Linked DNA regions of Coturnix japonica. The protein of the gene in region 2 purifies or fractionates together with the protein of the main gene of each other region. This does not show direct contact. Links are inferred from orthologs where the notes say so. Each region holds a gene or a part of one and is shown on either strand. Other genes may lie near its edges. The genes, in order: CDKN2AIP and XRN2.

Region 1 (4,474 bases), on a different chromosome or scaffold from region 2:
TTTGATTCTTCATCCAAAAGTACCAAATCTTCAATTTCACTACCTTTGTATTTCCTTTTACATATCTTCACAATAACTTTCTTCTTGAGGAACAATTTCAAAGCTTCTCTTGAAGCAACTGCTTTGGCGTTTTCCATGTTTTTACCACAGCCAGTACCCAAATACACAGACTTGCACCTCAGTTCACAAACTATATTTTCCAGAGAGCTCTTATTTTGAGGTAAGTCTGCAAGTTCCTTCAGGGGAACGAAAGCGACATCTAACGTAGCTTTGACAGATTGGATAGACGAGTTAAGAAGTTCCGCGTGATTTACATTAGGACTAAAGCCTCCCACAGCAACCAGTTTCCACGCTACGGCCTTATACAGTCTGTTGAAAAAAGGCTGTCTTTCCTTTGCATCTTCACTGGTTAACGGTTTGCACAAAGCTTTAGCAGGGCCTTCGCTGGCCTGCGAACCACTCTTGGAAGCAAGTTGTGTACTCTTGGCAGCCTGAGCCCCGATGCGGGAGGGGCCTTGCTGTGCACCACTGCGAGCGGCCAGCAGAGATGCTGCCGCCTGAGCGCTGCTCTTGGAGGTGAGCAGCGAGGCACCCTGCTGCGTGCCGCTCCGTGCAGCCAGCAATGAGGCAGCCACCTCCGCACTGCTCTTGGAGGCCAGGAGCGAGGAACCCGCTTTGGCAGTGCCCTTAGAAGCCAGCAGCAGCGAGGCTCCCACCTGGGTGCCGCTCTTGGGCGCTAGCAGCAGTGATGTGCCTGCCTGAGCGCTGCCCTTGGCGGCCAGCAGCAGAGAGGGGCCCGCCTGAGCGCCGCTCTTGGACACGGATGGTAGACCACTCACTTGGGTTTTGGAAGACAGCAATGCAGCACTTGTTTGTGCTGTGCTCTTGGTAGCAGTCACCGGCACCGATGCTGCCTGCAGGGTGCTCTTGGCAGCAGCTGGCGGCACTGATGCCGCCTGCGGGGTGCTCTTGGTAGGGGTCACTGGCACCGTTGCTGCCTGCGAGGCGTTGTTTGTGGCAGCTGGTGCCACCTCTGCCACCAGTGGGGCGCTGTTGGCGGCAGCTGTTGGTACCTCTGCTGCCTGCGGGGCACTAGTGGTGGCAGCTGGTGGCACTGCTGCCTGAGGGGTGCTGTTGGTGGCAGCTGGCGGCACTGCCGGTGCCTGCAGGGCGCTAGTGCTGGCAGCCGATGGCACCGCTACCGCCTGTGGGGCAGCAGTCGGTGACCCTGAACTTAACGTAGCTTTTTCAGGTGATGGCACATTTTCACACTTGCCTTCCTTAGATGGAATCTCTCCTGCTTCTTTTTCTGATGAAGATGGTGCTGGGCTTTGCTCAACAGTATGTTCAGCATTAGTAGTAGGCTTTTCTTCTGCTTTTGCAATGGATGTGGTGAGTGCTTCTTGATTTGAACTGCAAGTTGACAGGGAGCTTTCCGAATCTTTGCTCGTATCTTTATCCTGCTTTTTGGGCAACGGGCTCTCTGTTTCCATAGGGACTTCAGCCTTGGTTGTTTTCACATCTTGTCCAGTGTCCTTAGATTCTTTGCATTTCTCAACAGCTCGCTTCTTGGCGGGCTCCTCTACCCCTTCTGCAAAACAAGGCAGGTACGTTATTCTCTTTGGGTTTCTGCACCGTGAAGCGATTTATCTTATTTTCTAAAAAAACCCAGCAGTCATCCCTCCAAATATTAAATGTATTTATTGGGAATATACCTTCAATTGCAATTTCAAATAATTATCCACTATTTCAGAATATTTTAGTAATTTTTGACACAAAAATTGGAAACACAACCTACTGTTTCAAATCATTTTAACATTTGTTTGGCAAAAAAAAAACCCCAACAAACAGCAGCCATACGCTACACTTTCAGTTTCAGTTTGGGATCTGAAGGCCCATACGTATTTGCATTCTTGAAGGCCAAAGCAAAAGTGACCAAAGTAGATTTAACATATTAGCTGACCTTAAAAATAAGCGTATTTTGTTAAGTAATATCATGAACATGTATTTAAAATACTATTTTAGGATATTTTTTTAAGAAACAAAAGACCGAGTTTCTCACAAAGCTTTAATGTTACTTTGCTTTCAGCACCAGGCAGACAAGAACACACATAAGCTACAGTACAACCACCCACATCATGTTAAAGGAGCTGGCAACAGCTGTAGAAGTGTTACTGCCATCAAAAGAGCTCGATATTGCCAACTGAATGTATATGCATTACGTTTGTTTTAAAGGCATCAACAAGTAAAAAGAAGGGGAAAAAAATAAGGAGGAGTTTTAAAAGTCAGCCGTCCCGTTACTTTGTCAACCCGTGGCCAAGCTAGCACATTCAACACAAGCATATTCTAGACTCCTATGTATTGTCACAGCTATTATCTGCTAACCATTGCTACTTGATATGCCTCTTTTCTTCACCTTGGCAACCAGTTCGTCTCTCGTGGTGTGGACGGGCGCGCCGGTCACTTGGATGCCTTCGGCCATTTCCAGCGCCTTCTCCGTGACCTGAGGCGGGTACCTGCAGGGGCGACAGCGGGACGGGAGGGGGGACGTACAGGAGGAGGATGAGGAGGATGAGGAGGATGGGGAGGAGGGGAGGAGCGCCGTCAGCCGCCAGCCATTCGGCCGCCCCCGCCCGCCCGCCCGCCGCGCACTCACCGGCAGCCCAGGAAGACGTGGTTGGCCCACACCATGGACAGGGAGACGAGGCGCCGCAGTTGGGCGCTGCCGGCCGCGGGCGGCTCGCCCACATTGCGCAGCAGGAACTCGCGCCGGTACCGCCAGTGGTGCTCGGGCTCGCAGGCCCCGCGCAGCGCCTCCGCCCAAGCCACCTCTTCGTCCGTCCTGCCCAGCGGCTCGCCCGCCGTCCTGCTCACCATGGCCGCTCCTTCCGCCCGCGCGGGGCCCGCTCCGCCCCGCCCGCTCCGCTCGCCAGGCCCCGCGGCGGAACAACGGCTCGGCGACCGCCCGCTCCTTCCGGCCGCGCGCGATGACCTCACAACCGGCGCGAGGGGCGGCCCCGACACAACGGCTGCAACGGCCGTGGGCGGGGCGGGGCAGAGCGGGATGTGCCGCTGCCGCCCTCTGGAGGGCGCTCGTGCTGCGGGTTTCACTGCGGCTTTGTTTGGGCTGTGGAAAAGATACGGCGGGATTTCTCAGTCCTCGTGGTCTGAACGGAAGTGTTTCCTTTGTTTTGTCGGTTAACGCACCCGCTGTTCTCTCGTGCCAGGAGCAAACAAATGGTCACGGGCATGAAGGGGGACCTGGCACAAAGAGCAAGGAAAGGGCAGCGCCTTGTGTGGGGGACTCAGTGACATGGCTTCATTCACAGTGTCAGGACGTTCAGAAATGGCACCATGCGCATCACCGGTGTGGTGTCACTACTCTATCCAGATGTCAGTCCATCCTGTGGGGGTTATCAGGCAGAATAACCTGAAATACCTGAAGGATGCAACTGGCACTCAGGTTGTTCCATGTGGAGATGGGGCGGACCTGTCTTCCATGCCTCTGACTCCGTGCTACCACAATTCTTCACTTCAGAGTTAATACAGACACTGAAAGGCAAAGGCCAATGGAATGGAAGCCCTAGCAAACAGGCCTCAGGGTGCTCTCCAGCTCTCCATGCTGCTGGCCGTTCTGGTAACGCTCTCCAAAGAACCAGTCCTCTTTCTAACAAACACAGCTAGGGCTTGGTCCAGACTTGAAAGCTGCTCTTCAGGGATGGCAAGAATTCAGGCAGGTCTGGGTAGCTGTTGCTGAGTTACTGGTCATCTTGTGAACGTAGCAGAGCTCTCAGCACAACCTTGAATGCTCCACAGCCAACTCAGCTGCCAAGTGAAACTACTGAGGACCAGTCCACGCTAGGTTAGTATCTTACCACTTAAGAGTAGCAGTTTGGGTGAATTAGACTCTAGAGAGTGGCAGGGGCAATGCCATACACTTGGAGAGATTCCAGAAGTGGTATTTCCAGGCTTGCTGGTGAAATGATGCCTCCTGGTGCCAAACATCAGAGATAGCCCCCCACAGTTGAGAATTTTGTGTCTGCTCTTGGTCACTCCATGCATGTAAGGTAACATGGTCTCACCTGTGAGACCTGGGCTCCTCCAAAGGCATCCTTCTGAGGACTGTATTGCACTCTGTACAGCTAGAAGGCCTGACACATTATCTAGTTCTAGAGTGACTCGGGAACTGATTAGAACAACATTTTTTTCCCCGACTTAAGAGACTGCTTCCTTGCCCTCTGACCATATGGGTGAACACAACCACAGATGACAGCTGGAGAAGTCAGAATCCTTCCCGCTTCTGTGCCACAAAAAGTTTTTGTGAGCATCTTCTGGGCTCTGGCACCTTTCTAGCACGTTGTACCCTTTATTTGTGGTTAATCAATGCTGCTTCTGAATCAACATAGCCTTTCTCTTGGGACAAAGGCGACCAAGTGCTGGTGTCATGCTGGAAGCAGGCCAGATCTCAGCCCCA
Region 2 (3,810 bases):
AATGTGGAGTGCATCATATCAGGGTTTTCTGGTCCCTCATATTCTCAAGCTAACAGTGGGATTTAGCTTGGAAAAACAGTGCTGCAAATTGTATGCTGCCAGAGAAATACTACTACTACTCCTCTTAAGATCTCTGTTATGGCTTTGACTTGTGCAATTATGCTATTATGGAGAACTTGTGGATTAGTTCTCTCACTCTCAGATATGCTAGAAACTCTACGCAGGTTTAAAATGTGTCTAGTTGCTCTAAGTCACCCCAGGGCATTGTTAACTGTGTGGATAGACTGTGATCACCTGCTCTTGGCAAGACATTTTTGTGTTTGGTTTTATTGGATGCTTTTTTGTGTGTGTTTGTGTTCTCTCTCAAGGGGGAGGAAATAAGCATGAGGTATGTTGCAGCGTCCTGAAGTTAAGGTTAAGATTATGCTGTAAGGTCTTTTGTATTGTTATGGTGCTAGGTCTATCTCTTTGGCTGTCTCCCTTAGTGACTCAGACCTAGCACATAGCAGGAGTACTCTGGCAGAGAAGTCTATCTGCTGTTCTGTGCTGCCAAGGAAATGCCCGAGGTCTCCATTCACTATCCACTGAACTCACTCGCTCTAATCTGGCTATGAAAAATTAAGTCCCAACCTGAAGTCCAGAATACCTTTAGAGGCAAGAGCTCTTTCTTTTCTAATTGTGGGGACTTCTCTTTCTCCTGGTTGATGCTGGGCTAAGTTTTAACAAGTTTAGTTACTGGGCTGTTTGATTTCTATGTTTTTTTTTTTTTCCTTTGCACGTTTGAGTTGTCTCATGGTATTTCTCTTGTTTTGATGTCCTAGGGCTGTGCCTCTTGGAACTGGTATTACCCTTTTCACTACGCTCCGTTCGCTTCTGACTTTGAGGGTATTGCAGACATGCCCTCAGATTTTGAAAAGGGCTCGAAACCGGTAGGGCATATTTATTTATTTATGATTTAACAGCTTGCTAGAAATATCCTACATCTGCTGGTTTACTTTTGACAGTTCAAGCCTCTTGAACAACTGATGGGAGTATTTCCAGCTGCAAGTGGGAATTTTCTACCCCCAACCTGGAGGAAGCTCATGACAGATCCGGTAAGAATCCTTGGTTTATTCCTCTCTGTGAGGGTTTTGCTGCCTTGCAGTTTTTATGTGATCATTACTTGCTGCTTTTGACTTCAGGCAGAAAAGAGACTATTTAAAGATCCTTACAGGCAATTCCTTTTTTGAATCAGAGTTTTCAACAAGGAAGAATTATTCTGTAACTTCTCTGAAACTCATCTGGGGAGCAGAGACCAGTTGTCAGGAGTTCTCCTATCCCACTTAATTTCTTGTTCTGATATTGTAGGCAATGGGAATGCCCTACCAGACTTCTTATTTAAATGGTATTTAGTAAGGGGTGTTTCTCTTAGTCAAAGTTCTTTGCATGTTCCTTACTGAGTGTGAGCTAACAGTTAACACGTGGCATTCTCAGTCAATTCCATAATTGGTTTTAATGATAAATTTTTCTCAAATACAGGAATCAAGCATAATTGACTTCTACCCTGAGGACTTTGCTATTGATCTGAATGGAAAGAAGTACGCTTGGCAAGGTGAAACTTGAGGTTTCTTCTTTTGAACTACTATACATTGGCCTGCAAAAATATGAAGGAAAATGGGAAATGATGCTAGTGAGATAATGACATACCAAGTAACAAGGGTAACTTGTCTTACCTGGTGTGGGGGAGAGGTATTTTGCAGCAGCTGTATTTTTGAGAAGGAATTTCCGCGAGTAATAAATTATGATTTAGAAACTGATATGGGATTGGCAATGGTTAGCAGTTATTTCAGCAGTTGTTCTAGATTTGTTAATTTGTCCTGAGTTAGATTAATCACTTTTCTGTTTTCATTAGTCGTACTATGTTATTGTCTCTTGTCCTTGCATTTAACTAATAGATCTTATTGTGTTTGATCAACAGCTTGTTAGTGCCTAGTGAAAAATGCTTAGTAATACAGAAATACTTGAATGTGTACAGAGAATGAGGAAATAGATACGGTATTAGAGTCTCTTCCTTTAGACAATATTAGTTTTAATGAGCTGCCAATTTTTTCTATCTGGTATTCAGCCAGCAGTGTAACAGCTCTGTTAGATGTATAAATCATGATTGGGGCACAAACTGAAACTCAGGAAGTTCCATCTGAACATAATAAAGCACGCTTTTATTTTTCCTTTGAGGGTGGTCTAACACTGGTACATGCTAACCTGGAGAAGTTGTAGATTCTCTATTGTCACAGATGCTTCTAAGCCAACTGGACATAGTCTTGGACAACCTATGATTGTGCTTGAGGAGGGGTTTGGATAAGATTGTCTCCGGAGGTTTCTGCTAACATCTATGCTGCTGTGGTTCCTTCTCTAAATCATTTCATCTGTGCTTTGAAATAGCCAGCTAGAGACACCAGTGACTTAAATCCAGATAGTGAACCAAAATCAAAGAGAATAGACCTGAGTGTTATATGTTGCTTAGCATGTTTTTGCTCTGCGACGTGAAGGTCTTTTTTACCCCCTGATGCAGTTCAGGCAATTGTCTTTATTCCTTTTGTCTGGTTATCAAATGTACAGTTTAAAACAGTATTTTAAGTAGTAGGAAACTATTGGGTATCATTGGTAGGAAGCTCATCAGTAGAAGCAAGCTGTTGTCATGGTCAGATAAAGCTCTGCTGTTTGTGGTAAGGGAAATGAAATTAAAAACTAGAATAAGAACTCTAGATTAAAACCTATAGTAAAGGTGACGGAATTAAATCTTTTAAAGAATTTCTATGGTAAACTTCTTAGTGCTTTTTAGAGCTGATAATTGAAGAAAAATACTGGAACACCCCGGGGATAACTGTTCTCCAGTTTTATCAAATATGATGAAGAATGGGCTCAGAGAAGTGTTGTGAGATGTGCTGCTTAGTGAGGAATTTTGGTCCTGAGAGGAGCCTCCCTGTTACTTGGGAGTGAAACTAATAGCTAATATGAATAGTCCCTAATGAATTATATAATCTGCATCACCACATGTCTGAACACAGTGATTTCTTCTGTTGTTATCTCCTAATAAATTGAATAAAGTAGAATCGAATTCTGTGGGGAGAGTATCTTTAGCAAATGAGATAAATAATGACTGTCTTAATGACCTCATCTTATTCCTAAATGAAGCAGATATGGGTAGGGGATGCTGCTTCTAAGTGTCTCTCTCCACAGACTGTGAGAAGGGAGGAGGATAAAGGAGTGCTCAGACATGAGTATTCTCTTCTGTCCTATACTACTTTTCCTCCTCTCCTTGGCAGCCTGCAGGGTCCCAGAAACTGATTTTATTGTTATTATTATTTTATCATACTGATGGAACTGTAAGGTAAAGCATTTATTCAGACTTTCCATGCTAGTATCTTTACATGGATAGCCATTCACAAACACCCATTTATCATTCCTGAAACCATAGCTGCTCAGAACACATCAGTTCAGACTCATCTTTTCTCTGCTCTTTACTACAGTGCCTTAGAAAGCTGAAATGTTTGGGCTGTCTATTTCAAGCTTTTCCCAGTCAGTCAGTTTAGAGAGCTTTGGTTTAAAGCATCATTAGTTGCTTGTTGAAATGGGATGATTTGATTTTCATAGGTGTTGCGTTATTGCCATTCGTTGATGAGCGACGCCTTAGAGCTGCCTTGGAAGAAGTCTATCCTGACCTTACTCCTGAAGAAAGTAAGACTTACACTGTTTTGTTGTCACTGTGTTGTCAGAACTTGCTTTTACTACAGTTTCCCACAACTTTTATAACTTTCATTTTTGCTTTTA

What was found.
Region 1: the proteins of XRN2 (region 2) and CDKN2AIP purify together in Homo sapiens (affinity purification with mass spectrometry; 4 studies listed by BioGRID and IntAct, with this or other methods). This does not show direct contact. The link is inferred for Coturnix japonica from reciprocal best matches to the Homo sapiens genes XRN2 and CDKN2AIP.

Annotation. Positions count from the first base shown.
Region 1 is NC_029519.1:35,251,096-35,255,569, forward strand, and holds the start of CDKN2AIP (CDKN2A-interacting protein), read right to left. Parts: upstream 2,989-4,474; 5' UTR 2,878-2,988; coding exon 2,657-2,877; intron 2,517-2,656; coding exon 2,386-2,516; intron 1,592-2,385; coding exon 1-1,591. UniProt on the Homo sapiens protein: Regulates DNA damage response in a dose-dependent manner through a number of signaling pathways involved in cell proliferation, apoptosis and senescence.
Region 2 is NC_029518.1:4,203,545-4,207,354, forward strand, and holds part of XRN2 (5'-3' exoribonuclease 2), read left to right. Parts: intron 1-821; coding exon 822-929; intron 930-1,004; coding exon 1,005-1,094; intron 1,095-1,518; coding exon 1,519-1,591; intron 1,592-3,633; coding exon 3,634-3,717; intron 3,718-3,810. UniProt on the Homo sapiens protein: Possesses 5'->3' exoribonuclease activity. May promote the termination of transcription by RNA polymerase II.